Linked DNA regions of Oryctolagus cuniculus. The protein of the gene in region 7 interacts with the protein of the main gene of each other region in a pairwise test. Links are inferred from orthologs where the notes say so. Each region holds a gene or a part of one and is shown on either strand. Other genes may lie near its edges. The genes, in order: ZCCHC10, PPARA, C6H1orf35, L3MBTL2, FAM133A, MAB21L3 and STAC3.

Region 1 (4,559 bases), on a different chromosome or scaffold from region 7:
TGTGAACCAGCAGATGGAAGATCCCTCTTTCTCTCCCTCTCTGTAACTGATTTTCAAATAGGATAAATAAATCTTAAAAAAAAAGGAACAGTAGGGACTCAAACTGGTTCTCCAACATGGGGTGCCGGTATGGCAGGCTGCAGTTTAGCTTGCTGTGGCACAACGCCCAATAATCCATTCTTTAAAGAACAAGCTGTACTCAAAGCTGACATCATTACCTTCTCTAACTCTCAAAATTAATCACTTTACTCCTTTATTTGGGATTCCTTTTCTTTCCTTTTTAAAAAGATTACTTGAGAGGCAGAGAAACAAAGAAGTACAGAGGAAGACAGAGACAGCCAGCCAAAGGGTAAACCTAGCCACTGGTTCACTCTAAATGCATCATAATACAGTAGAGGACATCATATTGCAAGACCAAGTAAGCACGGCAAAGAGAACTCACTTTCATAACGAAACTACTCTTTCAATAACCAAATTAATCCATTAATCTGAAAATAGATTCATTTATTCATGAGGGCAGAATCTCCGTTACCTAATCACCTACCAAATATTACTGATATATGACTTTAGGGATTAAATTTCTTTTTTTTTTTTTTTTCAGATTTATTTCTTTATTTGAAGGTCAGGGAGGCAGAAGAGACAGAGACATCTATCTGTCAGATCATTCCCTAAGTGTTTGCACCAGGCCAGGGCAGAGCTAGACAGAGGCCAGGAGCCTCCTGCCAAGAGCTGCCTCCTCTGTGGGTGCAGGGGCCCTGGCATGTGGGCCATCTTCTGCTGCTTTCCCAGGCACATTAGCAGGAAGCTGGATCAGAAGTGGAGCAGGTGGGACCTGAATCTGTGCAGATATGGGATGACGGCATTGCAGGCGGATGCTTTATTTGACACACCACAGCTCTGGCCCTGGTGGTTAAATTTGTAACACATGAATTATCGGGGGAAAACACCCTAATCATAGCAGATTTTGTTTATTATCTGTAGAAAGTTCCATGTGCCCAAGGGTCTAAACTTGAACAACACAGCATCTCAAGCTCCTAAACACTTTACTAAATAATTATTAATTGAAAAATACAAATGGGTGACCTAGAAACAGACAAGAATATATACAGCAGGATTTCAGAAAAGTTGGTGGGAAATGTACATTTTTCTTTTAATGCCATTTTCACTAACTTTTTGGAGTAATTATACATATGAAGAGTGTATATATATATATATATATATATATAGAAAAGATTGTGGACTTGGGAGAACATTTCCATGAGTCGATACTACAAATAGGTATAGCTACAATTTTCTAAAGTAATATTTGCGATGGTCTTTTTCTGGTTGCCAAAGCAGCTTTGGTCCTTATAACATTGCTGTGAATATATTAAACAATGAACAGTTAACACCATTTTCACTTGAGGATGTGCTAAACCCATTCTCTCGGATCCAGGGCCCGCTCACTATTTTATTCTCCAGACTTCTGCTTTCCGGTACACAGTAGTTTCATTCAGTATCTCTGCGTGTGGGGGATACCTATACACACGAATCTTAAAAATACATACTTTTCCTTTTCGGGAATGTGCTTCCCCGTCACCGTCCTTGCAAACCTCGCTCAGCCCCATGGACGGACCCACAGCGGCGTCCGCACGCACCCGCCTCCGGCCCTCGGCCTCCTCAGAGAGGCCGCCCGCAGGCCCCGCCCAGAAGCCGCCCGGAGGCCCCGCCCACGCCGCGGCCGCCGGGTCCAAGTCCACGCCCCCTGCGAGGAGTTTCCCAAAACTCAGCGCGGCAGGCCTCGGCCGCGCTAAGATGGCGACTCCCATGCATCGGCTCATAGCCCGGAGACAAGCGTAAGTGGGGGCCCTCTCGGGCTCCCGGACGGGCTGGGGGCGGGGAGACGCGCGTCAGCCGGCGGCTGAGCCGGCGCAGGGGTGCGCGGCTGGGCGTCGGACCCCCTCCGAGGAGCGGCCGAGGATGGCTGTTGCTCAGACACATTGCCAGCGTCCGCGGGGCTCGGCCCGGGCGATAAGTTTGGTGACCAGAGACTTGCGGGGTCGTGGAACAAGAAGGCAGCACGCGGGGGTTGGTCACTCCGTGGGTTAGGCCGTTCTGCCCGCACGGCGCGTGGGCAAGGGAAGCCGGGTCGGACCCCTCCGCTCCCGCGGAGGTAAACTGCAGCTCCCTCGGCAGCCTCCCGGCCAGCTGTCTTTCGCTGCCCCCTTCCCATCGCCGTCCCTGGACTCAACCAGCAGCTACTTCTCAGTTACTGCCGGTCTCTCCCTGAGTAAATATGTAGTCCCTGGGCTCGGCGCCAGAGCTTGGGCATAACGAAGAGGTGTTTCATTCCGATGGAGCCCCTGCTTCGGGAGCTCACGCTCCGGTGATGGGGACGGTCTCTAGTTTGGTCAGCTTTGACGGACACGAGGTTTGGTGGTGGAAAGAGGCGACATTTGATCAGAGATGGCCATGGGGAGAAAGCAGCCGGTCCTGAGACGATGTGTGGAAAGAACATCCAGACAGTGGCAAAACTGCTTGGAGGCCAGAAAGAATTTACTTCTCAAGAGCAGAAAGATGGCCAGTGTGCCTAAGGAGCTAGCAGGACAGCGGCGCCAGAGGTTTGCCGTGAGCCGACAATGCAGGGGTCATCTCGGAGGCCCTTTTCCTGCAAAACCTTCTTTCCTACCAACACATCTGCTACTTCTTCATTCTCAGTGTTTCACACCATCATCGTTTTGCACACCTATAGTGCATAGCTCAGAGTCCATTAACGTATATATGTTTATGTTTTTTATGTTTCTCCCTTTTCAGGCCCGATGAGAGTTCCCTGAATATGATAAAGACTCAGGGAGTCAGAGTAGTCAGCTTGGTGGTGAAAGGAGGCTCAGTGCTAACTGATGTCATTAGGTCTCCGTCTCTGCCTCTCTGCTTCTGCCTCTGTTGCTCAGGTTTGCTTTCCTGGATGTTGGCTCCAGACTGGAACAGACTCTGTTTTCTTCCTAATGCAGTATGCCAGGGTCCCTTATATCCTCTCAGCTTGGAGCTGGCTGCACTTCAGTGACCTGACTGCCTTGGCACACCTGTGGGATTTTGAAGTTACAATTGACTCAGAGGTCTCCTCTCCCAGCCTAGTGGAATGGATGACCATGAATGGATGATCTGGGTGGACGGGTCAAAGGTAGATGAATGCTGACTAATCAAAATCCGTAGTAGTGCTCATTCACAAGTATCAGAAAGTTAAATGTTTTCTTTGTATAGTGTGTGTGTTTGGTCCATGAGGTACATTGGAAGTAAAAGGCAGATCAGAGCTCGAGCAGCTTGTGGTCTTGTTGGGAAGAGGTATAATATAAGTTGTTGTGGTGTACAGATTGTAATACCCCCAGGGATTCAGGAAAGGAAGATTATTTTGAGGTTAGGGACGTGCAAAAGAATTTTAGGGATGTATTTGGGGGAGAGGAGAGGAGTCTTTGCTTTTCATTTTATTTTCATATTATGTTAGTCAAAAAATGTTAATTTTGTTTATAAGGAGCATATATGACTTTTATAATAATATGTTTAAAATTGTATTTAAGTTATGAGAACTGAGAAAGGTCTGTTGTCATTCTTTTTTTTTTTTTTTTCCTTTAAAGATTTATTTATTTGAAAGGCAGAGAGATCTTGGGGGAGACAGAGAGAGAGGTCTTCTGTCCTCTGGTTCACTCCCCAAGAGGCCACAATACCTGGAGCTGGGCCTATCCAAAGCCAGGAGCCAGGAGCTTCTTGAAGAACCAGGTCTCTGATGTGGGTGCAGGGTGCTAAGCACTTGAGCCATCCTCTACTTCAGAAGAGCAGCCAGGACACAAACCGGTGCCCATGTGGGATGCCAGCATCACAGGTGGAGGCTTATTTTGAAAGCATAAATTAGCAATCTATATGAAAGATGAATTTTTTAAAAAGATTTATTTTTATTTGTTTGAAATACAGAGTTACAGAGAGAGGTAGAGATGAAGAGAGAGAGAGTCTTTGATCTGCTGGTTCACTCTCCAAATGGCTGCATTGGCTGGAGCTGAGCCGATCCGAAGCCAGGAGCCAGGAGCCTCCTCTGGGTCTCCCACAAGGGTGCAGAGATCCAAGGACTTGGGCCATCTTCCACTGCTTTCCCAAGGCCATAGCAGAGAGCTGGATCAGAAGCGTAGCAGCCAGGACTAGAACCGGTGCCCATATGGGATGCTGGTGCTTGAGGCCGGGGCTTTAACCCACTGCACCACAGCACCAGCCCCGAAAGATTAATTTTTTTTTTAAGACATTAATTTGTTTATTTGAAAGGCAGAATTAGAGAGAGGAATCTTCCATCTTCTGATTAACTTCCCAGATGGCTGTAAAAGCTGGGCCATGCTAAAGCCAGGAGCTAAAAACTTTCAAGTCTGGCCATGTTGGTGGTAGGAGCCCAGCTACTTGGACCACCTTCCACTGCTTTTTTGGTCGCATTAGCAGGGAGCTGAATTGGAAGTGAGCAACTGGGGCTCAAACCAAAACTCATCTGAGATGCCCACATCACAGGTGGTGGCTTAACATGCTACATCACAAAACTGGCCCCA
Region 2 (4,511 bases), about 61 Mb from region 7:
ATACCATCCAATCAAATGCAGCTCAACTACCAAGATCACCACACCAGGGCACCCCCGGCCAGCGCAAGGGCTGCACGAGCTCCTCTTCCAAGTCCCAGAACGTGGCCACACGTGGGGCAGAAGTAGAGGACACACTGCCAGCCTGGGGGACTGCCTGTTGGCCATGGAACAGACTGGATTATCCAGCGCACGGCGCAGCTCAGGGCAGGCCAACGACTCTGACACGTGGAGGAGACAAGTTCTTTCCGATCCGCCACCTCTGCTACTTAGTCCTCACTTCAAGCCTTCCTCTCACCAAACTGGAAAATCAGATTCTGAGCTGGGGTTTCCCCAGCCACGCGGCCTGCAAGGTGACCTCGCTCCCCTACGTAACTAATAAGGCTGAAGGGACAGATGCCATGCCTTGTGAAACACTGACTCCATCCCAAGCCACGGAAACCAGAAAGCGCAACAGAGACCCTCACATTCCAAGAGAGCAGCCTCAGGCCACTTGCACTAACTGCAGGGCCACACCCTTAGCATGCCGTGAAGCTAAGACCCCAGCCACCTGGAAGCGAAGCCACGCATCCCATTTGCCATGAAGAATTTCCCCACTCACACACAGTCTATGAAAGGCAAAAGAGAAAAATTGGCATGTTCAAACTTTGTTTTCAACAAAGAAACATTGTGATTAATGTGTTTTTAAAAGGATTATTATAAATCCATGTATATATATATGTATGTATACACACACACGTATACATATACATATATATAAAACACAGGCGCTTACGGGCAGCAGGCAAGAGAAAGGGCCCAGGTCACCAACCGCCAACCCAACGCACAAAGCAGCCCTGCCAAAATGTCCCCTCCCTGCCCACCTGCCCCTCACCCTGACCAAGGGTGACAATCTGTGAGCTTTTGTCTATACTCTAGTATGGAACCCAGTTTCACCAGAGGTCCGCGGGGGTCTCGTTCAACACTGGGCACAGTAGCCCACAGCAGCCACTCCGGAAGTAGCTATATGATGAGCCGATTTTAAAAGTCTGTGGAAAGCGGAATTAAAAGTTCACTTTACAAAAAGAAAAGTCTGAAATCTGTGCATATGAAAGGCTTTCCAAGAGTGCGTGGAAAATGCCCATTATGAGCAAACCACGCACACGTTTCACATCTTCTCAGTTTCGGCTTTCCACAAACTTTCTGAAGTAGCCTTGTCTCTACAGGGACCGGCTAAATAATTATTGTATCTAAATGTAATGGAGTATTAGACAAATGCAGGCGCATTTCATTCACCTGGAAGCTGCGTCCGGGGATGAAGCAGCCACAAAGTATTTGCCAAGAAACACAGTTTCTCCTTGTCTCTCACACCTTGTCTCTCACACGCACGCACGCAAGGGGCTGCTTTATGATGCTGGTGGACCTTGGTCAGGCGTGTCAGACTTGAGCAAACAGAAAACCTCCTCCTCCACCGTCAGTTCCCGTGCTTCTGCTCCCAGTCCTGGAGACCGCTGCGGGTGGGCAGCGACCACGCACACCCTCCCACACCGGGCCTGCGGCTCTGGAGCTGACCCCGACCCCCAGGTCACCTGCAGTCTCCCCACACGACAACAGCCCTTCCCCAGCGCCCGCTGAGTAGCACTGCTTCTCAGAGTCACCGCATCTCCCTATGAATCACAGGAAAGCAGCCAGCCAAACCCACATCAGAACTCCCCAACTCAGAACCCAGAAGCAAACCTATCCCGGGGTCTCCTGGGACACAGGGAAAAGACATGAAAGCTTTGCATCACAAAGAAACCATTAACCCCCAAACTTACTGCAGTGGAAACAGACCCTTCCATACCTCACCCTGGAGACTGAAATCAAACTCTGTTTACCTTCGGTGACACCGCCTTGCTTCTGAGCTTGTCACTTCTCCCAGAGGCAGGGCCCGGGACTCCAGCCCTGGCTGAGGAGGGACAGGACGAGACGGTTACAATGTGTTCCCTGGATGCCCCCCAGCCTCCGGCCCTTGCAAGGGGAAAGTCACGGTGACCCTGCCTTCGCCCAGGGTCGTTCTCAGTGAAGCCCCGTGCTCCTCCTCCCTACCAGCCAGCAGCCCTGCGAGCGGGGGCGGGGCGGGGGGCGCCCTGATTCCCTTGGGAATGGGGGTGGCAGGGGTCGCGGTGCCTGTGCAGACCCAGCCGGCCGAGAGCGCTCCACCTACTGCCCAGTCCTGGAGTTTTCTTAGAAAGAACCCTGACATTTGGGGCACATCTCTTCAACTTTTTTTTAAACAGGGGTTTGGGTAACGTGGGGGCGTGCCATGGTCCCCCCACCAACCAGGGTGGGCGCTGGGTAGAGCCGACCCCCCCTTCCCAACCTTGCACCCGCTCCAGCGGGCCAGGCCGGACCGGTCCCGAGGAGCCGCGGGAGGCCGGGGACAGGAAAGACACCTCGCAGCCCAGCGGAACCTGCCGGGGAACCCGCGGCTGCCCACGGCGCCCGGCGCACAGGGGCCCAGGCGCGCGACAGCAACCGCGCGCGCGTGTCCCCGTCGGGCTGCAGGACGGCGCGCACCGGCGCCGAGAGTCTGTCCGGGACACGAGTTACCTAGCCTCGGGGGTCCCTGGGGGTCTCGAAAACGCCCCCAGCTCTGTGACACTCGAACTCCACAGCGCACCGACGTCCCCGCCGCGGGCCTGGCCTCCCAGGGGACACCGAAGGACCCAGCGTCAGGAGGTCTCCGGCTCCGCCGACAGCCTCGGGCGCTTGGAGGGGCACCGAGCGAGAGCGGCCCCTGGTCCCGGGACCCTACTCGGGTCCCCGGCGAGTGCCCTCGCCCCGCGCCCCCGGGCCATGCGCATGCGCCGCCCGGCCCCTCCCGTCCGCGTCCGCCGCCCTCTCGGCCCGGGGCAGCAGAGGCCCGGCCCGGCCCGCGCCGCGGACCCCGCTCGCGCCGCCCACCCCCGGCACCTGGGCCCGCGGTCCGCCGCCTGCTGGTCCGCGGGGCGAGCGCCGAGGGAGGCGGCGCCAGGCCGGGCGCTAGCGGCCGCCTCCGCCCCGCCGCCCCTTGCCCGCGCCGTGGGGCCGCCGCGTCCCGGCCCTGCCCGGCGCCGCCTCCGCCCGCCCGTGCCAGCCGCGCCCCGCCCGCGCCACGCGCCGCCCCTCGGCGCGCCCCGCCCGGTCCGGCCGCGCGGGACCGACCCGGAAGCCCCGCCCCGGGCCCCGGCCGCGGCCCCGCGCGGGACGCACCCACCGGACGGCGGCGCCCGATTGGCCGCCGGCGGGGGCGGGGCCGGGACAGCCCTCGCGACTCCCACTGCGCGCCCCGCAGCCGCGGAGCTGGGGGAAACTGAGGCCCGGGAGGCAAAGGGACTGCCCAAGGTCGCCCCGCGGATGGCTGGCGTGGGGGGCGGGGAAGGGGAGGCGAGGGTCCCGCCGGGCGCCCGTGCCGCGCTGGCGAGGCCCTGAGCGCTCGCGGAACTCGGCTCCGCACGGCGCGACGAGGGGGTCTTGGCCAGGGCCCGGGGACCGGTGCCTAGGGTCTCGGGAGTCCGTGGGGTGCGGGGCGGGAGGACGGGGAAGGGCGTTCCGAGAGCCCCAGGACGCGTCAGCAGGTGGCGGAGGTGCCAGGCCGTGGGCACGAGTGTGAAGGGCAACGGGGACAGGGCGGGGAGGCGCCGCCAGCTCCGACCCCCGCCCCGGCTGCCGGTTCCCTGGGGGTGAGAGAGGACTTTGTGCCCAGCGAGGCGCGCGGGCCCTGCCAGCGCACTGGGAGGTCGCGGCCCCGCAGCCAGTGGCGAGGCTGAGGGGACAGCGCGCAGAGCCGCTCCGGGTGCGCAGCGCCCGGCGCCCCTTGCCGCGGGAACGAAACTTGTGCAATGTCCGCCCAGCGCCGCGGCGGCGGGCTCCCGGGGTGACCTCGTAAGTGAGCGGGCGCGGCTTCCACCCAGGTCACCGCGCCGCGCAGGGGCTGCAGACCCTGGCCTTGGGGCCATTTCGCAAGCTTCTTGGAAAGTCACTCCTGTCGGTTAGCTGGGACTGCTGTGAACTCTGCCCCACCCCCTGGACACCCACGCTCGATCGGGCCTGCCCAACTCTACCTGCGCACGCCGGCCAGCAAATGCCAGTCTGTGCGCCTTCCAGAGCCGGGCTGAACACAGACCCTGGTAGCTCCCCGGTGGACCCAAGCTGTGTTGGTTACCCAGCAGCAGGTGGGCTTCCTGCCCTCGGTGGGCCACATCCTGGCCGCGTGGGTGTTTCCTGGCTCACCCCAGGGCGCAGAGTCTCAAGACAGGGGTGTGTGTGTGTGTGTGTGTGTGTCCTGGTGGTCGCCCTGCACCCAGTGCCACCAAGTGGTGGGAGAGACCTGGCAAGAATTATGGATGCCTGCAAAGGACATACGGGCTTCAATCTCCCAGGTGCGCACTCCACAGATGTAGAAAGTGATATTCTTGGGTTCTCGGGGTTCCCAAAGCTTTAGGAGAGAAAACTTGTTTGTGAACCATGCGTTGGGAGATGTCACTTCTCTTATTAAGATTTATTTTATTTAT
Region 3 (4,286 bases), on a different chromosome or scaffold from region 7:
TCCCTCAGCTCCTCTGATACCTTGCCCTCTGTGGGCCACCGCCCTGGCCAGGTGTCCCTGCCTGCCTTCACCTGAGCACAGTCTCAGCTCTGGCTGGCCACCTGCAGGGTGAGGACCTGCAGAGGGTTAGGGGTGTGGTCTGGATCTTAACCCCATCCTCACAGGAAAGGTTTCCTGTGTGCACAAGCACACACACGGGAGCACAGGCTGGGCTGTCTGTCCACACCTACAAGTGCCAGCACCTTCATGTCCCCAGAAGCAGTCCTGCCCAACAGCACCTCCACAGGTGAGCAGGCAGGCAGGTGGGCCCTGGGGGCCTTTGGCTCCCTGCAGGCCCCCCACTCCCAAGCTGCCCCGACACTGTCGTCCCTCTGGGGGGGTCCTCCCACGGTTCTACCCTGGCCACGTGGGAGCACGAGGGGCTCCCTTAGGGTGTTAGCGGTCACCAGGGCCCTGGACAGGAAGGACAGGTGCTGGGGCCACCTTCCATTCTGTGATGATACACTCTGCTTTTAATATAAACTGAAGTACAAAACTGATGTAAAGAAAAATAGAAGTAGCCACACTCAGCCATAGCTACAGCCTCGGGAGGGCCGGCCTGGGGAGGCTGCAGAGGGAGACAGGACAGAGAAGAGACCTGTCCTGGAATACAGGCTCCCCTGTGCTGGGAGGGCCGGGGGCTGAGGCAGGGCCACAGGGACACCCTGGGCTCGCAGTCTCCCTTCACTGGGACCTGGAGGAAGTTCACAAAACAGGCCCCTGCTCCTGAAGCCCAGCAGGCAAGGCTAGGGTCCCTCTGCCTCGACCTGGACAGGAAGGGCACCCTGAGGGGGGTGCCCCCGGGACCTGCACAGGCCTCCAAGGCAGGGTCTCAGGCATCAGAGTCTCTGGCGTGCCGCTGGCGGGAAGGGCTCCTCCCACTGTCCCTGCTGTCACACCGCCTCTTCTTGCAGCAGGGGGAGTTGCAGTCACGCTGGCGGGGTTCAGGCCTGGGCAGACAGGGATGGTCACTCAGAAAGGACCCAGCGTGCGGCAGCTGCCCATCTAGCCCAGCTCCAGTCCCCCTCCCCCTGGGCTGCCCTACCGAGCAGGGGATGGGGACGAGGAAGAGGAAGTGGCCCCTCTCCTGTGCTCCTTGTCTTTCTTCTTTTGTTTCTTGTGTTTCTTCTTTTTCTTTCTCTTCTTCTCTTTCTTGCTTTTCCTGTGGCTCTCAGAGCTGCAAGGGGGGTGCAGAAAGGGCCTCAGCCCCAGCCCTCGGGAGACAGGAGACAGCAAGCACAGGCGGCCAGTTCTGTCCCGGCCAGGGGAGGAAGATGGACACGCTTGTGCTGTCCAGGGCGGCAGCCACCAACGTAGCGGCCTCTTCATGCTTGGTCCTGGTCAGCCCCTCAGCCAAACAGACCACATCTCAAAGTGCTGGGCGGTCACGTGTGGCCAGCAGCCGCACCCTCACTGTGGCAGAAAAACTCCCCAGCAGATCCAGCAGTGACTCAGCTCTGCCTCCCCCCAAGCTAGCCAGGGCCAGGCGCCATTGCCTGCGCCTCACCCCAGCTCAGCAGCTGTCCTGACCCCAACCCCTCTCGGCAGGCACATTCAGCCTGGAGATGGAGACCGGCCCTGCTCGCCCGCCGAGGGCAGCCCAAAGAGGGGCTCAAGGCCAACCAATCCTGGCCCTTTCGTGGGTGCCGTCTCTGAGCACACGTCTGTGGGAAGAAATCCCGAGCTGCACCCCCGCCCCTACTACACACACACACCCCTGGAACTCCGGCTCACGAATGCCCCTTACTCAGGCTCCGCCTTGTCCTCGGCGCGCGGTTTCCTCCTGGCTGAGGCCGGCGAGGTCCCCCGCCCGCCATTCTCCACGCGGTGGTGCTGCGGGGGAAGCGGCGCTTTGGCGAGGGCGCGCAGGTTGACCCCACGCCTCGGGGAGACCCGCCCTGGGCGTCCCCCATCCCCCCCCCCCGCCGCCCCGAGGACCCCAGCGCGTTCGGGCTGGGGCAAAGAGGTTACCGTGAACACCGACAGCCCCAGCTTGGCAGCCTCTTTGTCCTCCCGGGACAGCGCCACTCGGCCCGCGGAGCCACTGCGGGGACACGGAGGTGAGGACGCCCCTGGATCACCGCCCGGACCCTGCTCCCCGCTGGGCACCCGGCTCCTCCTCCCCGGGACTGCCGCACCTGGCGCTGCCCAGCCCCAGCAGCCGATCCACGCCCTTCTCCTCCGGGTCGCCGGCTTCCCGCTTGCAGATCTCCACGAAGTCCTGCGGGGTGCGCACAGGGCCGGGAGAGAGGGCCCGGCGCCGCCCGGCCCCCGCCCCCGCGACCCCCGTTTCGGCCCCCAGCTCAGCCCCCGCCTGCGGTTACCTCTTTGCTCAGGCCGGTGGGCTGCTTCTTCACGTTCTTGTAGCCTCTGCGAGAGGGCCGGGGCACCGTCAGGGCGCCGTCGACCGCCCGCGCCCTCCGCCCGCGCCCTCCGCCGCCCCCGGGGACACTCACAGCGCGGCCAGCAGCGCCTCGCGCTCCGCCTCCCGCACGGCCGCCAGCTCCTCCTCGCGGCTGGGTCCTGCGCGCGGCTCCCGGCCCTTGGCGTACCAGGTGAGGTCGCGGCCCTTCTGCCAGCGGCCCACCGGCGCCATCAGCGAGTTGCCCAGGTAGTTCTCCCGCTGCTTGTCGGTCTTCACGTCCTCCCAGTTGAACTGGTCCTGCCCGCCGCGCACCCCGCCGCGGCTGGACCCGAACATGGCTACAGTGCCGCCGCACGGGCCCCGATGACTGTCGCCGGCTTCTGGCCTGTCGCCGCGCCTAGCCGCGCCGCGACGTCACGCCTGCGCCGGGCCCCGGGGCGTCGCACCTGCCAGCGCGTCACGCCCCGGCCCGGCCCCGCGCGCCTGCGCACCACCACCCACCTCGCAGCGAGCACCGACGCAGGCACCGCCCGACTGGGCCCCCGCGCCTGCGCAGTGCCCCGTCGCCGAGCGGGCGCTGGAGGGGCTGTGGAGCCCGGGTGGGCGCGGGGCCGCTGCCTGAAGTCCCCGCCGATCGCTGCGATACAGACCCAGGAGGACCAGGTTCCGGGTGCGGCTCCGGCGAGGGCCCCTGCCCCCCAGGCCGCGCTCTCCCCGCAGCCGCTGGGCGTCGCGGGAGGGGACAGCGGTTACCGGAGCGAGTTTGGTGGGTTCTTTTCCTCAGCTTAGTATGGAAATAAGCTGGAACAGCTTGCAAAGAAGTGGGAAGTTTGCTTCCCGTTTTGCAAGGCTTTCGGGAAGTGCACACGGTTTTAAGGCTTTGCTGTCTTCGTTGGGTCTTTCTGTGGGGGTGCCCATTGGACCGGGTTCCACATACTGCATGCCAATAGCAGGGGTCTCTCGGAGACAGCCTGATTCCCCGTAGGGGGCTCAGCTAAGTTGAAGCGGAGGCCGGCCTCGCAGCCATTCTGCACGAGGCGTTCCAGCAGCGTCTGGGGGCCCGCAGACCCCTAGCCCCCAGACAGGGTCAGGTGGCAGGCCAGCGGGCTGTGAGCAGCCCGGCGACTGCTCGGCCTGGCGCCGCGCTCCCGCCAGCTCGCTGCTGGCCGCGGCGCGGGGCACCCGCTTGCGGCTGCCGCCCCGCCCCGGCTGCTGCGGGTGTTTGGGGGAGTGAACCAGCAGATGGAGGGCTCCTGCTTTCTCTCTCTGTCGCCCTCCGCTCCGCCCCGTTCTATCACATAAAAAATTAAGAGATTTATTTATTTATTTATTTGAGAGGCAGCGTTACAGACAGAGGGAGACACAAAGAGGTCTTCCATCCACTGGTTCACTCCCCAAATGTCCACAACGGCTGGAGCTGCGCGGATCAGGAGCCAGGAGTTTCTTCAGGGTCTCCCACGTGGGTGCAAGGGCCCGAGCACTTGAGCCATCTTCCACTGCTCTCGTAGGCCGCAGCAGAGTTGGACTGAAGAGGAGCAGCTGGGACTCGAACCGATAGCCATATGGAATGTTGCTGTCACAGGCAGAGGCTTAACCTGTGCTTAACCACAGTGCTGGCCCCATAAACTCGTTTAAGTGTGTGCCTTAAACTGCTGTAACATTACTAACAAGAAAGTCCAGAGCAACCAAGAAGCTGCTCAGAGCTGGCCCTGGGTCGCTGTCGTCACTCTGAGCCTGTGACTCAGTGTCAGGGAAGACAAGTCAGTGCACTTCTGGAATTCTCAAGTAATTGGGTTGCTGCCCCCTACAAGGGAGCCCTGTGTGGAGTGCATGGCTCCCTGCGGGCATGTGGGGAGTGAACACACACACTCTTGCTTGCTCT
Region 4 (3,839 bases), about 57 Mb from region 7:
GCAGATGGCTTAACCCGCTGTGCCGCAGCGCAGCTCCGGGAGTTTTGAGGAGCAGCAGACTCAGAGCATGGAGCCGGCTGACAGGGCTGAGCTCCTTCCACCTGGCGCGCACTGCAGCTCTGCGGCACCGCACCAGCCTGGCACCGTCCTTGGGAAGCGGTGTGCACACCAAGGCCAGCGCCTCCGCTGTGTGCCCTGCCCTCCCTCTGCAACCCGGGGCACTCACGTGTTTGAAGCAGCTGACAGGAGCAGCTTTGTAACTGTGATCCTTCAGGAACTTGCCCCAGTCGAAGCCCAGGACCAGAGCTGTGGAGCAGAGAGGAGATTGGCGCCTGGAAGCCCGGTGGCAGCGCTGTGGTCACTGCACTGAGGGCCGGCGGGCTCAGCAGCAGTCGCTCTTCCGCAGCAGTCCCAGTGCGCCCAGACCTGTCCCACCAGTGGCCACCAGGGGGTGCAGGCAAATCTAGACGCCGCCAATCCTCGGTAGAGGAGCACTTACAAAGGAGTATCTCTCCCTTCTTATCCCAAGGAAAGGGAAATGCCAGTGTCCCTGGGTTCAAATTCCTCACACCCCTCAGCCTCTCCTTGGCCACATCCAACCCAACAGGGTGGAGCAGCACAGAGTGAGGCCCAGACCTGCTGGCGGGGAGGCCAACTTGGCAGAGCTGCGAGGGCCTACACTTAGTTTGCTACACACACACACAGAGAAGGTTCCTTTTGTTATCCTAACCCCGGACTGCCGCCCCTTCAAACCAGACTTGGGCCTCCACTGCCCCAGAGATAAGAGAAACAAAAGAAGCTAATTCCTGACTTCTGAGGGGTGAGCCAGGAGCTTTTAGGAGGTAACTTCCAGGACAGCCCACAGGAAAGGGTGACGGGCAGCGAGCCTGGGCCAGGGGCTTTCCAGTGGTCCAGCTTTCCCAGCCCCCACTCCCAGGGAGGGCCAGCCGGGTCCCGGCCACCACCGCAGCCACTTTCAGAACCTGTCCCTGCTGTCTTACCGTCTTGCCCTGTGGGCGTCCCATCGGCCAGCTGTCCAGTGCCCTGGGAGTGCAGGAAGGCTCCGATTTTAGCAGACCAGGCCGCCTTGTGCAGCACTTTGGCTTTCTTGGTTGGTGGTTTCCCCTGGAGGGAAAAGAGAGGCCGTGAGGTGGCGGCTAAGGATCTGGATCGGCACTGTCAGGATCCGCCTGGTCTTGTTCAGTTACTTATCCTCTTCTGGCTTGAGTTTGTAAAACACAGCGTGGACAAGGCCTAGCTCAGAGGGTGATGGTGGTGGTGGGTAGTCAGCGGAGCAGGGGCCTCTCCCTACAGCTTTAGCTCTGTCAGCTCCTTACTCTGGTGCTGCTACTGAGCCACGCAGAGAATAGGCTGGGCGGGGGTGAGGTGGGGGAGGGTGGCACCACGAAGTCTCTGCTCCACGAGGCAGCATTCCGTACACAGGTAATTGTGCTCCACGGAGGCTCCCGTGCTGTCCTCAGGTACTCAGAGGAGGTCACCCCCAAAGGGAAAGGCCAGGGCCCTGGTGCATACTTTGTAACTTACGCACTGATCAGAAAAGCCAGGAATTTACCACAGATCAGTGAGGCAGAAATGGAGGATGACATCCCACACAGACTGGGGGCCAACCCCGGTTCTGAAGCTTTCTATATCTTTTACTCAAATGCTTAAACTCTTAAAACAGGAATTTGTGTAAAGTCAATTTTTTAGGATCGTTGTTTAGACTGGGAATGCCAAGCCCTCAACAGGTGTCCCCCGATGTCACTATTACCAAGTAACATCACGAGCTCTCTTTCATGCGTTGCATAAAACCCACAAAACGAGGGAAGCAAAGGCAGTGCAGTGAGTGAGGCACCGGCCGGAGCCAGCTCAGGGCACTGCCACCAGCATCACGGTGGCAGGCAGAGTCACCGGCGAGCTCTTTAAATCCCCAAGCCAAGATCACACTCCTTCCCTGTTAAGCCAGTCTTTGGGTATAGGACCCAAATATCTTTTTTTTTTCTTTTTTTTTTTTTTTTTTGACAAGTAGAGTGGACAGTGAGAGAGAGACAGAGAGAAAGGTCTTCCTTTTGCTGTTGGTTCACCCTCCAATGGCCGCCGCGGCTGGCACGCTGCGGCCAGTGCACCGCGCTAATCCGAAGGCAGGAGCCAGGTACTTCTCCTGGTCTCCCATGGGGTGCAGGGCCCAAGCACTTGGGCCATCCTCCACTGCACTCCCTGGCCACAGCAGAGAGCTGGCCGGGAAGAGGGGCAACCAGGACAGAATCCGGCGCCCCGACCGGGACTAGAACCCGGTGTGCTGGCGCTGCTAGGTGGAGGATTAGCCTAGTGAGCTGCGGCACCGGCCCCAAATATCATATTTTTAAAACTTTCTAGAGGCTGGCACTATGGTGCAGCAGGTTAATGCTCCGGCCTGCAGCGCAGGCATCCTATATGGACGCCAGTTCAAGACCTGGCTGCTCCCTGCTAATGCGCCTTGGGAAAGCAGCAGAGATGGCCCAAGTGCGTGGGCCCCTGCACCCACGTGGGAGACCTGGAAGAAACTCCTGGCTCCTAATTGGCCCAGCTCTGGCCATTGAGGCCATTTGAAGAGTGAACCAGTGAATGGAAGACTCTCTCTGTCTCTACCTCTCTGTGTAACTCTTCCAAATAAACAAATCTTTAAAAAAAAAAAAAAACCAAAACTTTCCGGATGTTCCGAATGCACAGTCTCCTTTGAGGCACGTGTGCACGTTGGGAAACACCCACGGCCGGCAGCTGAGCGTAGGCTGCAGCCCAGATCCCAGTGCTCTCCCTCCACAGAGCTGCCCTGGGTCAGTCGTTCCACCTCCCTGCACTCGGCACACTGCATCATCTTGTGGGTCTGACAACAGGTGCCTAAGACAAGTGTTTCCATCCCTAAACTTCTATAAATGTCAAGAGCTTGGCAAGACTTCCCAGGTGGCCACCCATGAGACACAGTCAGCGACAAGGCATCGGCTTCCTGATGCCGCTGTGGCTGCTGAACCTTGCGCCTGTATCCCAGCTTCCCTTCAAGGCATTTATAAAAGCGTGCAGAGAAGAGCAGGGCTTCCAGCTCTGATCAGAACCTCCAGGACTCTCACTTAAATTTATTGAATATGAGCGACTCTTGGGGGTGGAAGGATAACAGCAAGCTCTTAATGAACAAGCTCCATAAACTGACTCCTCTGCCTACTGAGGTTTGAGAGCACAGCAAATTCTCAGAAGAAATGTCCAACCTCAGACGGCCAAAACAGGGAGCTTCCCAGGTCCTCTGGGCCTCCAGTCAGCTGGTCCTCTTTTAGCACCCAGGGCCCTGGGGGCCGAGCGGCTGCCTCTCACCTGTAATCTAGCCAAGATGCTGGCTTTCTTGGAGTTGGAGGAATAGCTCCTGGAGCAGGAGACGCTGCAGAACCTCTTGGTCTTGGAGAAGAAGGCTTCCCTTGTGCCCACGATACCGCACATCTCACAGACAGCTGGGAAGAGAACTTAGCACATGACTCACCTGGTACGGTCGCCCCAAATCAAACCCAATGAGGCCTTCAATACCTGGGACATTGCACTAACCAGGTGAGTGCCAGCCCTCACTAAGGCTGACACAAGAGGAGGAGGAGGAGGTGGTGGAGGAGGAGGAGGCGGAGGCCACACTGAACACATCTGAACGGACCTCACCTAAGCGAGGCTGCCCGGCCTCCCTGGGCTGTGTGTGTAACAGCGGGGCTAAGGGAACTTCAGAAAGACAACTGGGGAAACAGGTCAGTGAGGAAGTTTTCAAGACAGAGAAGTCAAAGAGAAAAACATGTATTAGGTAGAAGTGCCCAAGTCGCTCAATCCTTGTG
Region 5 (3,535 bases), on a different chromosome or scaffold from region 7:
GCTTACTCATGCTTGTAAATTGTTATCTTTGTTGTTCATAAAGCAGCACACAATAACATCCCAGAATTTCATTGAATAAAGAATGGATGGCTGCTGCACTGGCAAAAATAGAATGTGCAAGGATCCAAGGCACACTATTCAGCTAGCCAAAGTAATTAGCAAACACTCCCTACCCCCCAAGCCCTTTCCCCATGTAAACAAAAGTTTTTTTTAAGGAAAAAAGTAAAATAAACTGAACATCTATAACAGTAAGGATTTTGATATATCAATATTAAGTCTTTGCTTCAGAAATGTGAACTACAGTTGTCTGAATATATTTTGAAGATGTCTGCAAAAAAAATTAGATACATTTAACCTTAGAATCAATTTTTTTTGGTCAAAACAATCCATTATCTAAAACATTTTATTTTAATTCCAAACATTTTATCCACTAACATGACAACAGAGTTTTTACCTTCCAGAGGAATTAACCACTGGAAAGAAAGACAAAGAAACAAACAAAATCCTATATTTAAGCTGCAGGCAACAATTATGGCCCTTTCTGGCACAGTGGCTTTTTACTGGCATTTGAGTCCAGGAACAACTCTACTAACACAGGGAAACTCATGCGTGTTGGTAACTATGCCCTAATTTTCACAGTTGAAATTTCCTTTAGACTTTTTTTTAAAGGAAATCTTACTTTTTTTCTTGATGTCATCCTGATTTATGACTTGAACCAGACTTCTTTTTTTTCTTCTTACTGTGTTTCTTGTGCTGTTTCTTCTTCTTTTTCTTTACTTTTTCCATTGCTTTTTCTTGCTCTTCATGTTTTCTCTTCTTTTTTGCTTGCACTTCCTCTTCATAATCTGATTCTGATGAGGCCTCAGATGACAAAGGTTTATCCTCAGGATGAGTCTTCTTTCTTTTTTTGCTGAGGTTTCTAATATACTTTTCTTTCTCTGTTTCATCCTTTGACTTCTTTTTCTTTTTCACAGATTCTTTGCTCTCTGATTCTGATTCACACATAGAGCTTTCTGATGATTTGTATGAACGGCTCTTCTTTTTCTTTCTCTTTTTTCCTTGTTTCTTTTCCTCATCCTCAGATTCTGAACAACTGTTTGAAGAATCAGAGCTTGATGAAGGAGAGGACGAAGATTGACAAGATTTCCTCTTTTTCTTTTTCTTTTTTTCTCTTTTTTTGGATGAGTTCTCATTTCCACTCAACAATTTCTCTCTGCTTTTCTCAAGTTCTTTCTTCCAATTTTCATTCATTTTTTCTTCAAATTCAGCTAATGCCTTGGAACCTTTCTTTTTATTTTCCAATTGTTTCTTTACTTCTTCCCAGGTGGGCCTTGGCCGATTCAAATAATCTTGTATTGTTGGGCCTGCAGATTGAGTTGGGCCTCTCCATCTGGCCATGGCTATAGGATTCATATAGGCCACTCGATTATCTCGCTTCCCCATGATGCCTTATGGTTCCCAGAGTAGCTTATCAGTTGCAAAGCAGAATAAGGATAGACACTCTCCTTATTCTCTTTATCTGCTGGTATACCAAGCAGGCTCCATTCTGTGAAAGAAAGATGGAATGGTTACACAACTACTTTAACATAAGACAAAATAAACACATAAGCTTAATTATCACTGCCTATAATATAGTACAGCAGAGATTTCCAAAATCTTATGCTTTGGGAACAAACATTTAAGATTTATAAACACACATACTTTAAGATTGTTCCATATTATACGTACTGTGGTATGAACATAACACTAACTTAAAATGTCTTATTTACCTCCTGTAGGGCTCTGGCAAGTATGTAATATGTTTAATAAGTATTTATTTTTATATCATATGATATTTACCAATTTTCATTTCATTATTGCCTAATATGATATATCTAAAAAATTATAGAGCTAAAATCTGTACCAGGAGGACATTCTCCAGCTTGGGAAAGTGCAAAACAATCTACTCTACTCCTTTTGGTAGTCAAAATCTTAAAAATATTTTTCCCTTCAACTCTCACATCTAATCCATTACTAATTCTCCTGTTTAAATTTCCACAGTGTGTCTCATGTCCATTCACTTTTCTCCAAATATATTGTCATGTACATAGTCAAGGGTATTATCATCTCTCACTTGAACTATTAATCTCTAATATCTAAAGTGTTTATTATCTGTCAGGAAGCATTCAGTTCTTTGCAATGAATTATTCTTGTTCAATTCCTAGAATAAAACATACAAGGAGTGGCCACTGTTCTGCAAAGGGTAAGCTATTGCTTGGAATGCTGCATTCCCTATCAGATAGCTGGTTCCAGTACAGGCTAGCCTGTTTGTCACTGAGCTTCCTGCTAATGTATACTGGGAGGCAGAAATGGATGACTCAAATAATTGAGTCTATGTTACCCATGTGAAAAATCCAGATGGAATTCCTGGCTTCTGGTATTGGCCTGACCCAGCCTTGTTGCAGGCATTTGGGGAGTGAAACAGCAGATGGAAGGACTCTATCTCTGCCTGTCTGCCTCTCTCTTCCTTTCTCTCACTAGATGAAAATAAATAAACATTTAAAAAAACCTATAACATTGATCTTATTATTATCTCTATTCAAGTGTAACTTGCATAAATTAAAAGGACTAATAAATGGTGGAACCAAGTTTAAACCAAGGCAGCTTGATTCCAAACCCTAAACACATAACACAACATTATTATATCTCTTCATTATATCAACCTCTGAATTGGTAGTCCTATTTCTGCCTGTACTTCCTTCTATTCTAGTCCCACATTACAATCAGAGGATATTAAAACACTCCAGCTGCTTTACATCTTAAGGAACATTAATCAAAACTCCTTTATACATCCCATATTATCTGCTCTGTTTCTCTCTCCTACTTTCATTTATAGTCACTCACCCCTTTTCTCAATTCCATCGCCTTATCTTCTCTTGATTCTTGGAATAAGCTGAATGCCAAGCTTAACCAACATGGTCAATTCAACCTCATTCTTCAGATCTCAGCTTAAATGTCAATTCTTCAGAAGGGCTACTGTTGAGCTATATATAAACTGGTCAATTTTAAAGGAGACAAATAGTTCAAATACCAACAAATTCATACGGCTCAACCTGATACTAAAGTAGGCTGATTTTCTGTCTGCCACTCATCCTGATCTTTCTGTACTCTAGTTCCTCATTTTTTATTCATAGCACTTATTAAATTGGTAATGATTTTATTTGATTATGTGTCTGTGTATATATTTGTGTGTGTATTCACTGGTAAATGTAAGCTCAACGAAGGTAAAAGACCATGTTTGACCCATCTTATTCACCACAGTACATAACACAGCATCTGTCCCATACTGAGCACTCAACAAATGGTTGTTCAATAACAAACAAACACATGAATAGATGGGTAGATGTCTGAGTAACTATGGGAAACAGAAGCATTCAGAGGGAGCCTCTAAGATGTGGTGATGTTTGTGAAGGATTTTGAAGGATGAACAGAAATGCACCTGTAAATGAGAAAATGAAGGACATTCCTGGCATAGGAAATGACATGTGAAAAAAAT
Region 6 (4,483 bases), on a different chromosome or scaffold from region 7:
TCCCTTTTCAGTCCTTGACAGATCAAGTAGGTACAGCATTATGAAAATAGATGGACAATTTTACTATATGTTCCAAGAAAATGTGAAACATCACAGCGAAGAGAACCTTAAGCATTCTATATCCTCTGACCACAGAGCAAAACAGTAAGAAAACATTATGAACATAATAACTCCAACTACTTGGGGATTTTAAAAATAATAATAAAACAACAACAACAAAGACCCTCAAAGACAAGCAAGTGTAAAGAAAATAATAGTACACAAAACAGAAATCAGAATGATATAGAAAAATTACTCTGCTACACCAATACTTAAGCAATTTCAAATCTGGTTGAGAGATGACATTTCAAAGGAAAATCAGACATTTCAACAAGAGATGTCATTTCAGAAGAAAATCAATTAGAAAAATTGACTCAAAAAAAAAGTAAGAATATTTTAAGCAAAACCACTACAGAAACCATTATAAAACTGTTCCCCAAACTGCCTCTTAGACAATATGGGTCTCAGTTTACTGATGATTCTTTTCAACTTCTAGGGAATACACAGTTCCCATAAAATTTTTTATAGGGCACCAAAGAAACACAGAAAACACTCCTGGGTCCACATATCCAGACTTTATAAATCAAAACATTTGTCATGTTTTGTTGCTCTTCTTTTGTTGAAAAGGGCAACAGACAAAATGCTACTCATAAAGTTGAATTCTCCTGACTTCCATTTCCTTTCAACCTAATCCTTCTTCTGCCTAAGGAAATACAACTGTCCCGGCTATGGGTCCTCAAGGCCCTGAGATAAAGCTGGCATTTATAATTGGTGGGGACAAGACAAAGATGAGCAAGCCTGGGAGAGAAAACACTCAGGAGCTCAGAGAAGATAAGGAAAAGATAAGGAAATTAAATATTTTTTAAAACCATAAAAAGAGTCAGAAGATGGAGATAACCATTCATCTGAATTTGTGTATGTGAGTGCCACAAGCCAAAGGTGGTAAAAACTTCAGATAACAATTTTAAACTTCAAAATTAGAAAAAAGTTTCAAAATATAGAATGAGCCAAGAACTGGGATAGGAACCCATAAAAGAAATACAAATGGCTAATAAACAAAATGACCACAACTTTAGTTACCAAAACATGCAAATTAAGCCTTAACAATGAGCTATCCCCCTCATCTACTCCACCCATAATTTGATAATCTGCCAAAGATAAGAAAAAGGTAGTGTTTTAGGGTGCTATGGGAAATCTGGCCCTCATCTATTAACAATGACATTATAATTTCATATGAAGATTTTCATCAAAATTTTAAAAATCATCCCCATTGACCCAGTGAGTTTGTATCTTAATTTATCTGAAGGAAACAAGGGAGGTATGCCAACCTTCTGTATGCCTCATTTACAAAAGGAAAAACTAAGCTAAAATATCTAGCAATTAGACATTGGCTAAATAAATTATAATATAGCCATGTAATGCAAGACCTTGCGGCCCTTAAAAAGAACCATAGAAGGGCCAGTGCTGTGGCGTAGTGGGTAAAGACACTGCCTGCAGTGCTAGCATCCCATATGGGGGCCAGTTCGAGTCCTGGCTGCTCCACTTTCAATCTAGCTCTCTGCTATGGCCTGGGAAAGCTTTAGAGGATGGCCCAAGTCCTTGGGCCTCTTCACCTTTGTGGGAGACCCAGAACAAGCTCCTGGCTCCTGGCTTCGGGTCGGCCGTTGCAGCCATCTAAGGAGTCAACCAGTCAATGGATGACCTCTCTCTCTCTCTCCCTGCCTCTGCCTCTCTGTAATTCTGTCTTTCAAATAAATAAATAAATAAATCTTAAAAAAAAAAAAAAAAAGAGAGAGAGAGAGAGACCCACAGACGAGTGGGCATTTGGCTTAGCAAGCGGGGCAGTGCTTAGGATACCTGCAATACTCCACACTGGAGTGGCTGAGTGGAAGTCCTGGATCCTCTCTTGACCCAAGCCTTCTGCTACTGTGCACCCTGGGAGGCAGCAAGGGATGGTTCAAGTGGTTGGGCCCCTGCCAGTCAGTTGGGAGGTCCAAGTGAATTCCAGGTTCCTGACTTCAGCTTTGCAGAGCCCTGACTGTTGCGGGCATTTTGTGAATGAACCAATGAATGGGAGAACTCTCTGTCTCTCTGCCTTTCAAATAAGTAAAATAAAATAAAACAAAAAAATTCTTAATTCCTGAAAAACGTTCATTATATATAGGCAAATGAAAAAAAAATCACAAAACATTCTTGGAGAAAAGGTTAGGAGTGATTAATTCTGGACAGCAAGATTGCATTTAATTTTTCTTTTCCATTTAGCCTTGTGTTATCGAACATTTTTTTTAAAAATTGAACATGTTATTTTTATAAACATAAAAGAGGAAATAATATACAAGCACTAAAACTTGGTATCCAGAGCAGAGGGTGTCGAGATGCTAGGGGAGTGAATAAAGTGGAAAGGGCACAGGGCACAGGACAGAACCCACACGAGATGGAACTGAGCCCTCTAATATTCTTTTGTCCTTGAAATCCCAAGACCTTAAGGAGTCATATTTGATGTGTGGTTGAGCTTGTTTCCTGTTCGCGCAGGGACCACGGCTCTCAGGTTTCCTTACTTCAAACACAAGCTCAAGCTCTGGACAGGTCACACTTCCTGAGCACCCCTGCGGCCAGAAGGAATTTTCAAGGATCCTCCTCTCTCCAGAGCATGACACAGCCCGTGTCACTACTCCTGGCTTTCTCTCTCCAGCTCCCTTGTACAGCCGCAGACCCAATACAAACACACACACACACACAGTCCCAGTTACCTGTCCCCCCAACACTTACCCCTCCAACCGGAGTCCAAAAGAGGGAGAGAGAGGTCTGTTGGCCAGGGTCAGAGGCGACAGTTTTTATATAATCCACTGCTCCCGCCAGGAGGCTGCAGTCTCCTCCCGGATTCCTGGGAAAAGGGGAGGGCAGTCACTTCCCTCTGGGGGAAGGCAGCCAACACGCAGTGTCTGTAGTGAAAACCACAGACAATAAAGAAGAGGGAAATGTTCTTTTAAAAGTCATACTTCCTCAGTTACGTTATTGGTTGGCAAGTGAAGCAGCTTGAGTTTTCTTGCAACAGTTTCCCATCAATTGCATTTTTGGGGAAAAGTATGCCACTGCGGCCAGTTCAATAAAAACACGACCTTTTGTTTTAAAATCACTGTCGGTTTCTGTTGCTACAACTGATTGTAGCACTTCGAATTTCACACACAGGCGTCTCTCAGTAATCCTCACAGCAAAATTAAAGGCAGCATTGTTAACATTTCCTAACACAGATGAGGACTTGCGAGGGTACTCAAAGTGTCTTTGGGGAATATGTTGAACTACTCTGAAGCCAGCAGCTACTAAGCCTCACTTACATGTGAAGAGGAAGGTGAAAGAAAAGTTGGTGGCTCCTGGGAAGGTCTACTTTGCTCTGGGCCTTCACAGTGTGGCTGATCTGATAAGGAAGAGGGTACTCCCAAGAGGAAATGTTTATGTGCCCTGTGCAGATAGCGGAAGCTTCCTCTCCCCAGACAATAGGTTTTAGCATAATTAAAGCACAGGCCAGAGGGACAGCTTAGAAGTTAAAATTCTTTGTGGCTTGGAATTCTTGGACCCAGAAGAAATCTCAGCGTGAGGTCTCCTTTCCCAAAAAAACCTTCCTGGACACCTACTTCTAAATTGTATTTGTGTTTTGAAAGGCAGGCAGAAAGGAAAAGAAACAGGACACAGGGGGGTCTTTCATCTCTGGGTTCACTCCCCAGATGCCTTCAAACAGCCGGGGTTGGGCCAGGTCCAAGGTGGGGATCCTGGAACTCAATCCAGGTATCCCGCATGGGGGCTAGGGACTTAAGTACTTGAACCATGACTCGTTATCTCCCTGGGTGTACAGCTACAGGAAGCTGGAAGCGGAGCAGGGGCTTGAACCCAGGCACTCTGATACGGGATGCAGGCGTCTCAAGCAGCATCCTGATTTCCAGATCCACCCTGGAAAGAAATCCAGTTCTGTTACCAGCTAGCTTGCCAGACTTGGCCCGCGATTTTCTCTAACTTCACCCAGGTCTTTCATCTCTGCGGTACTTCAAACCCCTCTCCCAATTTTTTCTCTGCTCATCCCATTCAAGTCAAAGACTCTGGGAAGGCTTGAGGCTTGAGAAAGCCACTCCACTGGCCTGTGACAACCCCAAGCCTAATACAATGCCTAGCGCACAGCAGGCCCTTGGTACCTCCTGAATGTACCGGGAGGGGTGGCAGGTTAATGGTTTCTTCAAAGCAAATTATGACAGCAATCCCAAAGGGGCACCCTGGAGTGATGGAGCTGATTTTGCCATCTTCTCTTTGAGATCCTAAACTGGATTTGGTCTATCCACAGGGAGCCTGAATCTTGAGGTCTCAGTCAATCCACATTCTGGATTGACAAGCATGCTCTTCCACTCATTCTGGAGGGAAAAATCTCAGTGGTCCTAAAAGACACAGAGGAACCCTC
Region 7 (4,394 bases):
TGTCAAAGGTTCCAGAAGCCCTTCAGAGGTGGAGGACTTGGACCTTTCTTGAATCCTAAAGCCAGAGGATTGGGTTCTACCTGGCAGGAACAGAAGAGGCTGCTTTTAACAGTAAAAGCTACGCCAGCTGAACTTGAAGTGTCCAGATGTGTGTTCCCTGCCATCTGTGGTGGAAGAAGAGAGGAGCCAGGAGTACTTGGGACTTCCCACAGCTAGCCTGTGGGTACAGGGTGGTCCAGCACCTGTTTCAATCTCCCCTACCCCTCTAGGAGAGATAAAGAGCAGTGGGTGGATGTGGCAAAGTGCAACCCCTAAAATTGCTGGGGTCTGGGTGGCCCTATCTCTAGCCAGGCTCCCCCCAAGAACTTGGCTGACCCCACCTGCGACGCAGTCCTTTATTTCTTACAGATAACAAGAAATAAAGCAGCATATGATAACCCCTCTTTCGTAGTTCAGAGTATCTCTTCCTTCAATTATGCCCTGGCCCAAAGAGAAGGCGAAGGCTGTATCCCCCTGAGATGAGAATGCCAGCCAGGCCTCTGCCCTCTCACTTCACGTGCTGGGGCATCAGAGGTGGGCGACGGGACCGGGGAACCGTAGTGGTTTAGAGACTTGGCCGTCCTCCCTTCAAAAGAGTCTACAGCTCCCTCCTGAGGAAGAATGGACTTAAAAATGACAAAAACTCCCTGCAGAAGGCAGCCACAGTCTCTGGCGTCAAGTATTTCTTCCTTGTTACTGGCCCCTCCTTCCCTGGAGCCCCTCAGGTGGAAGTCTCGGCCTGTCCTTTAGTAACCCTTACAATTCCCTTTACCCTCAGGACAGGATCTTAGTGGAATGGGGGGAGTAGAGCAGTACTGTGTATTCCTCGCCTCATTCCAGGATAGCAAGGTGCCCCTGCAGCTGCCCGGTGTCAGGCAGCCTTGTGGGGTGGCTGACAGGACAGTCAAGTGGCCCATCCTAGCCTGAAGGTCTGAAGCTGGGGGCTGGAGGGCGCAGGGACTTGGAGCCACCAGGAGACAACTGCAGAGAAGAGAAGCCTGGCTCCTAGAGGAGCTCCGGGGAGGGTAGAGTTGGGGGTGATTGGGCCTTGGGGAGAGGGGTTGGGGGTCTAATTCATCTTCCCTCACTTGCAGTCATCTGCATCCCCTCAAATGGGCACACAGCGTGAACAGAAACTCCCAGCACTGGGCCTGTTCAGCTCCTGCTACATGAAGAATCAGGGAACAGCAGCTGGGGGAGGGGTGGAGTTAGGGTCCAGCCCTGCCCAGACCTCCCGTGTCCGATTTCTCTGTGTCAGCTGTGTGGCTCAGCTGTCCACTTCCCTCCAGCCCTGTCATTTCAGCTCTGACACCAAGGCAAGAGGCTAGGAGGTCTACAAATAACCGTCTGAGTGGCTGGTGTGAGTACGGACGGCACTGGGGGGGCTTAGCCCCCAAGGAAGAGGAACCAGTCCTCCCCCAGCACCACCGTCAAGGCCCCAGGGGCTCCCTCTGCCCTCCACAGCCTGACTTTAGGGAACCCCAAACGTAAGTTGCCTCTTGCTCCCCTTTCCTGCTCCAGGATTGTTCTCCCCAACTTCCCCAGTCGTAGTCTATTCAGCTTCTGTGTCCTCTCATCTGTAAGTAGTGGGGTTTTTAGGAGTGGCATTATTCTACTCCAGGATGAGTTGGGATTGGAGGTGGGGGTGGGGTTGAGGGAACAGAGTAGTAGGGAAGGAAAGGCTCATATTACTCTGAAAACTTAAAATAGCAGGCCTGAGGCAGGCTGGGACAGAAGTAGGCAGCGGGCCCCAGGAGTCCAGAAAGAGGGGAGAAGCAGTGTCTCCAGCTCATCCCTCCTTGTGGGCTCGCAGGGATGCACAGCAAACCTGCAGGGAGGGCGTGTAGAGGCACAGCCTACTGGACTGAGCAGGCTGCCTGTCAGAGTGGAAGGATGGATGGGAGGATAGCACTGGCTGGGAGGTTCTGACGTCTGCCGAGTTTCTTCTGGACCTCCATGGAATCTTGCTGCTCATAGCCCTACCATAGGGTCTCTGCGAGATTTTTCCTGAAGCCTCCCTTTCAAAGACCACCCTACCCCCCATGAGACAAGAATGAAAAGACAAGAAGAAAGGTAGTCAGGGATTAGATTTCCTATGGAGTCCAACCTCTTGCAGGATGACAGAAAAGGAGGTACCGGAGTCCCCCAAGCCCTCCCCAGCAGAGGCTGGGCAAAGTGGGGTGAGTCTGGGCCATTGACCGCTGTGTGGGGGGAGCTGGGAAGCCATTGCCGGCCAGAAGGAAAGTGCTTGATTGGTCTCTGCGTGTTGTTAGATGACTAGCCAGCACCTGTGGCTCCCCTGACCCCACCCACCCCACCCCCGGCTGCATTCCTTGCCCCAAACAAGAACAATGTGGCTAGCTGTAGCCTTAGCTACTCCAGGAGGCCAGGACAATCCTGTTAACATTGGGTTTCCTTCACTCCCTCCCTCAGCTGCAACGGCTGAAGCAGTTGTTCAGGAAGGGGTCTACAGAGACAAAGGAGATGGAGCTTCCCCCAGAACCCCAGGCCAATGGGGAGGCGGTGGGAGCTGGGGGTGGGCCCATCTACTACATCTATGAGGAAGAGGAGGAAGAAGAGGAGGAGGAGGAGGAGCCACCCCCAGAGCCTCCTAAGCTTGTCAACGATAAGCCCCACAAATTCAAAGATCATTTCTTCAAGAAGCCAAAGTTTTGTGATGTCTGTGCCCGGATGATTGTGCGTGAGTCATGAAGGGAAGCAGAGAAAGTGAGGGTGGAGGCAGGGAGTGCGGGAGAGGGTTTAGGAGAGTGATATTGGTAGCAGGTGGCCGGTGGCAAGATTTGACTTGGGAGATGGCTGTTAAGAGATTCAGAGTATAGAGTCCCAAACCAAAAAGGGAGAGGAAACTCTGGTGCAAAGAAGGGCAAGCCGGGGTCTTACACAGATGTTCTCTCCTCCCCCAAGTCAACAACAAATTTGGGCTTCGCTGTAAGAACTGCAAAACCAACATCCATGAACATTGTCAGCCCTACGTGGAGATGCAGAGATGCTTCGGCAAGATCGTGAGTAGGCTCTGGGGAGCAAGAAAGGAAAAGTGGGGGACTCGCTAGCTGTGCCCTTGCTGCTCCCCCTCAAGTCATCCCTTTCTTCTCCCTGCTTCTTCTTAGCCCTTCTCTTGCTCTGAGAAGGGGCGAGCACTCATGGGAGACATGGGTTCTGGACCCTGCACTACTGCCTCTAATACTTCCTCCCATCCCATCCTACAGCCCCCTGGTTTCCGCCGGGCCTATAGCTCCCCACTCTACAGCAACCAGCAGTACGCTTGTGTCAAAGATCTCTGTAAGTGCCCCATGTGGGACCTGAGGGAATGGGGCAAACCTCAGAGATGGTTGCATACCACCTCTAGCTTTGGAAGCCACAGTGTGAAACAGGAACATTCTATTTCCCATGACTCTCCCTCATCCTAATACAAAGGGTCTTCAAAAAGTTTGTGGAAAATGCTTGTCAGAAAAAAACTGTGGATTTTGAATATTTTTTGCACCAAAATAATTTTTTAATTGATTTTTTTTTTTTTTTTTTTTTTTTTAGGCAGAGAGAGACAGAGAGCTCCCATCCGTTGGTTCACTCTCCCAAATACCCACAATGACTAGGGTGAGCCGAGTCCAGAGCTAGTAACTCAGTTCAGGTCTCCCATGTGGAGATGCTTGAGCCGTCACTGCTGCCTCCCAGGCTCTGCATTAGCAGGAAGCCGAGTCAGGAGCTGGAGGTGGTTCTCAAACCCAGGCACTCCGATGTGGGATGCAGGCATCACAACTGCGAGGCTAACCATCCGCTTCCTAAACCTTTTAATTCTACCTTTTCATAAATGTTTGTAGTACCCTCATAAGGACTATTACAAAAGTAATAAGTACTTTTATAGCCATCTCGGTTGCAGCGTTAATATTGCCCTGTTTGAGGCAATCTTGAGAAAAATAAGATTTGCCTGGAGGGGGCCAGCACTGTGGCTCAGTGGGTTAAGCCTTTGCCTACAGTGCCAGCATCCCATATGGGCACCGGTTCAAGTCCCAGCTGCTCCACTTCCACTCCAGCTCCCTGCTAATGGCCTAGGAATACAATGGAAGATGGGCCAAGTTCTTGGCCCCTGCACCCAAGTGGGAGACCTGGAGGAAGCTCCTGGCTTCAGATTGTGGCCATTTGGAGAGTGAACTAGCAGATGGAAGCTCTGTCTCTCCCTCTTTGTGTCTGTAACTCTGCCTCTCAAATAAATAAATAAATCTTTTTTAAAGAAAAAAAATTGGCTAGAGCTATCTCCAGCTAACAGGAGATAGAGCCAAGACTGAAAATTGCATCTGCGAGTTTCAAAACCTGTGCTGTTCAGATGCAAAACTGTTTCT

The links.
Region 1: the proteins of STAC3 (region 7) and ZCCHC10 interact in binary tests that used the Homo sapiens proteins (3 or more experiments, as listed by UniProt). The two-hybrid records come from large-scale screens. The link is inferred for Oryctolagus cuniculus from reciprocal best matches to the Homo sapiens genes STAC3 and ZCCHC10.
Region 2: the proteins of STAC3 (region 7) and PPARA interact in a two-hybrid assay, tested with the Homo sapiens proteins (2 studies listed by BioGRID). The two-hybrid records come from large-scale screens. The link is inferred for Oryctolagus cuniculus from reciprocal best matches to the Homo sapiens genes STAC3 and PPARA.
Region 3: the proteins of STAC3 (region 7) and C6H1orf35 interact in binary tests that used the Homo sapiens proteins (3 or more experiments, as listed by UniProt). The two-hybrid records come from large-scale screens. The link is inferred for Oryctolagus cuniculus from reciprocal best matches to the Homo sapiens genes STAC3 and C1orf35.
Region 4: the proteins of STAC3 (region 7) and L3MBTL2 interact in binary tests that used the Homo sapiens proteins (3 or more experiments, as listed by UniProt). The two-hybrid records come from large-scale screens. The link is inferred for Oryctolagus cuniculus from reciprocal best matches to the Homo sapiens genes STAC3 and L3MBTL2.
Region 5: the proteins of STAC3 (region 7) and FAM133A interact in binary tests that used the Homo sapiens proteins (3 or more experiments, as listed by UniProt). The two-hybrid records come from large-scale screens. The link is inferred for Oryctolagus cuniculus from reciprocal best matches to the Homo sapiens genes STAC3 and FAM133A.
Region 6: the proteins of STAC3 (region 7) and MAB21L3 interact in binary tests that used the Homo sapiens proteins (3 or more experiments, as listed by UniProt). The two-hybrid records come from large-scale screens. The link is inferred for Oryctolagus cuniculus from reciprocal best matches to the Homo sapiens genes STAC3 and MAB21L3.

Annotation. Positions count from the first base shown.
Region 1 is NC_091437.1:21,523,464-21,528,022, reverse strand, and holds the start of ZCCHC10 (zinc finger CCHC domain-containing protein 10), read left to right. Parts: upstream 1-1,602; 5' UTR 1,603-1,605; coding exon 1,606-1,835; intron 1,836-4,559.
Region 2 is NC_091442.1:120,675,222-120,679,732, reverse strand, and holds the start of PPARA (peroxisome proliferator-activated receptor alpha), read right to left. Parts: upstream 3,087-4,511; 5' UTR 2,932-3,086; intron 2,924-2,931; exon of another isoform or gene 2,569-2,923; intron 1,925-2,568; 5' UTR 1,854-1,924; exon of another isoform or gene 1,820-1,853; intron 1-1,819. UniProt on the Homo sapiens protein: Ligand-activated transcription factor. Key regulator of lipid metabolism. Activated by the endogenous ligand 1-palmitoyl-2-oleoyl-sn-glycerol-3-phosphocholine (16:0/18:1-GPC). Activated by oleylethanolamide, a naturally occurring lipid that regulates satiety.
Region 3 is NC_091437.1:246,654-250,939, forward strand, and holds the start of C6H1orf35 (multiple myeloma tumor-associated protein 2), read right to left. Parts: upstream 2,842-4,286; 5' UTR 2,741-2,841; coding exon 2,496-2,740; intron 2,410-2,495; coding exon 2,364-2,409; intron 2,261-2,363; coding exon 2,178-2,260; intron 2,084-2,177; coding exon 2,011-2,083; intron 1,873-2,010; coding exon 1,787-1,872; intron 1,217-1,786; coding exon 1,085-1,216; intron 990-1,084; coding exon 872-989; 3' UTR 1-871.
Region 4 is NC_091442.1:117,288,889-117,292,727, reverse strand, and holds part of L3MBTL2 (lethal(3)malignant brain tumor-like protein 2), read right to left. Parts: intron 3,477-3,839; coding exon 3,343-3,476; intron 1,126-3,342; coding exon 1,002-1,125; intron 307-1,001; coding exon 227-306; intron 1-226. UniProt on the Homo sapiens protein: Putative Polycomb group (PcG) protein. PcG proteins maintain the transcriptionally repressive state of genes, probably via a modification of chromatin, rendering it heritably changed in its expressibility.
Region 5 is NC_091453.1:56,373,142-56,376,676, forward strand, and holds the end of FAM133A (protein FAM133A), read right to left. Parts: intron 1,547-3,535; 5' UTR 1,444-1,546; coding exon 694-1,443; 3' UTR 559-693; downstream 1-558.
Region 6 is NC_091438.1:54,356,647-54,361,129, forward strand, and holds the start of MAB21L3 (protein mab-21-like 3), read right to left. Parts: upstream 2,997-4,483; 5' UTR 2,809-2,996; intron 1-2,808.
Region 7 is NC_091442.1:59,883,394-59,887,787, reverse strand, and holds the start of STAC3 (SH3 and cysteine-rich domain-containing protein 3), read left to right. Parts: upstream 1-1,285; 5' UTR 1,286-1,526; intron 1,527-2,155; 5' UTR 2,156-2,156; coding exon 2,157-2,219; intron 2,220-2,472; coding exon 2,473-2,740; intron 2,741-2,964; coding exon 2,965-3,062; intron 3,063-3,266; coding exon 3,267-3,339; intron 3,340-4,394. UniProt on the Homo sapiens protein: Required for normal excitation-contraction coupling in skeletal muscle and for normal muscle contraction in response to membrane depolarization. Required for normal Ca(2+) release from the sarcplasmic reticulum, which ultimately leads to muscle contraction.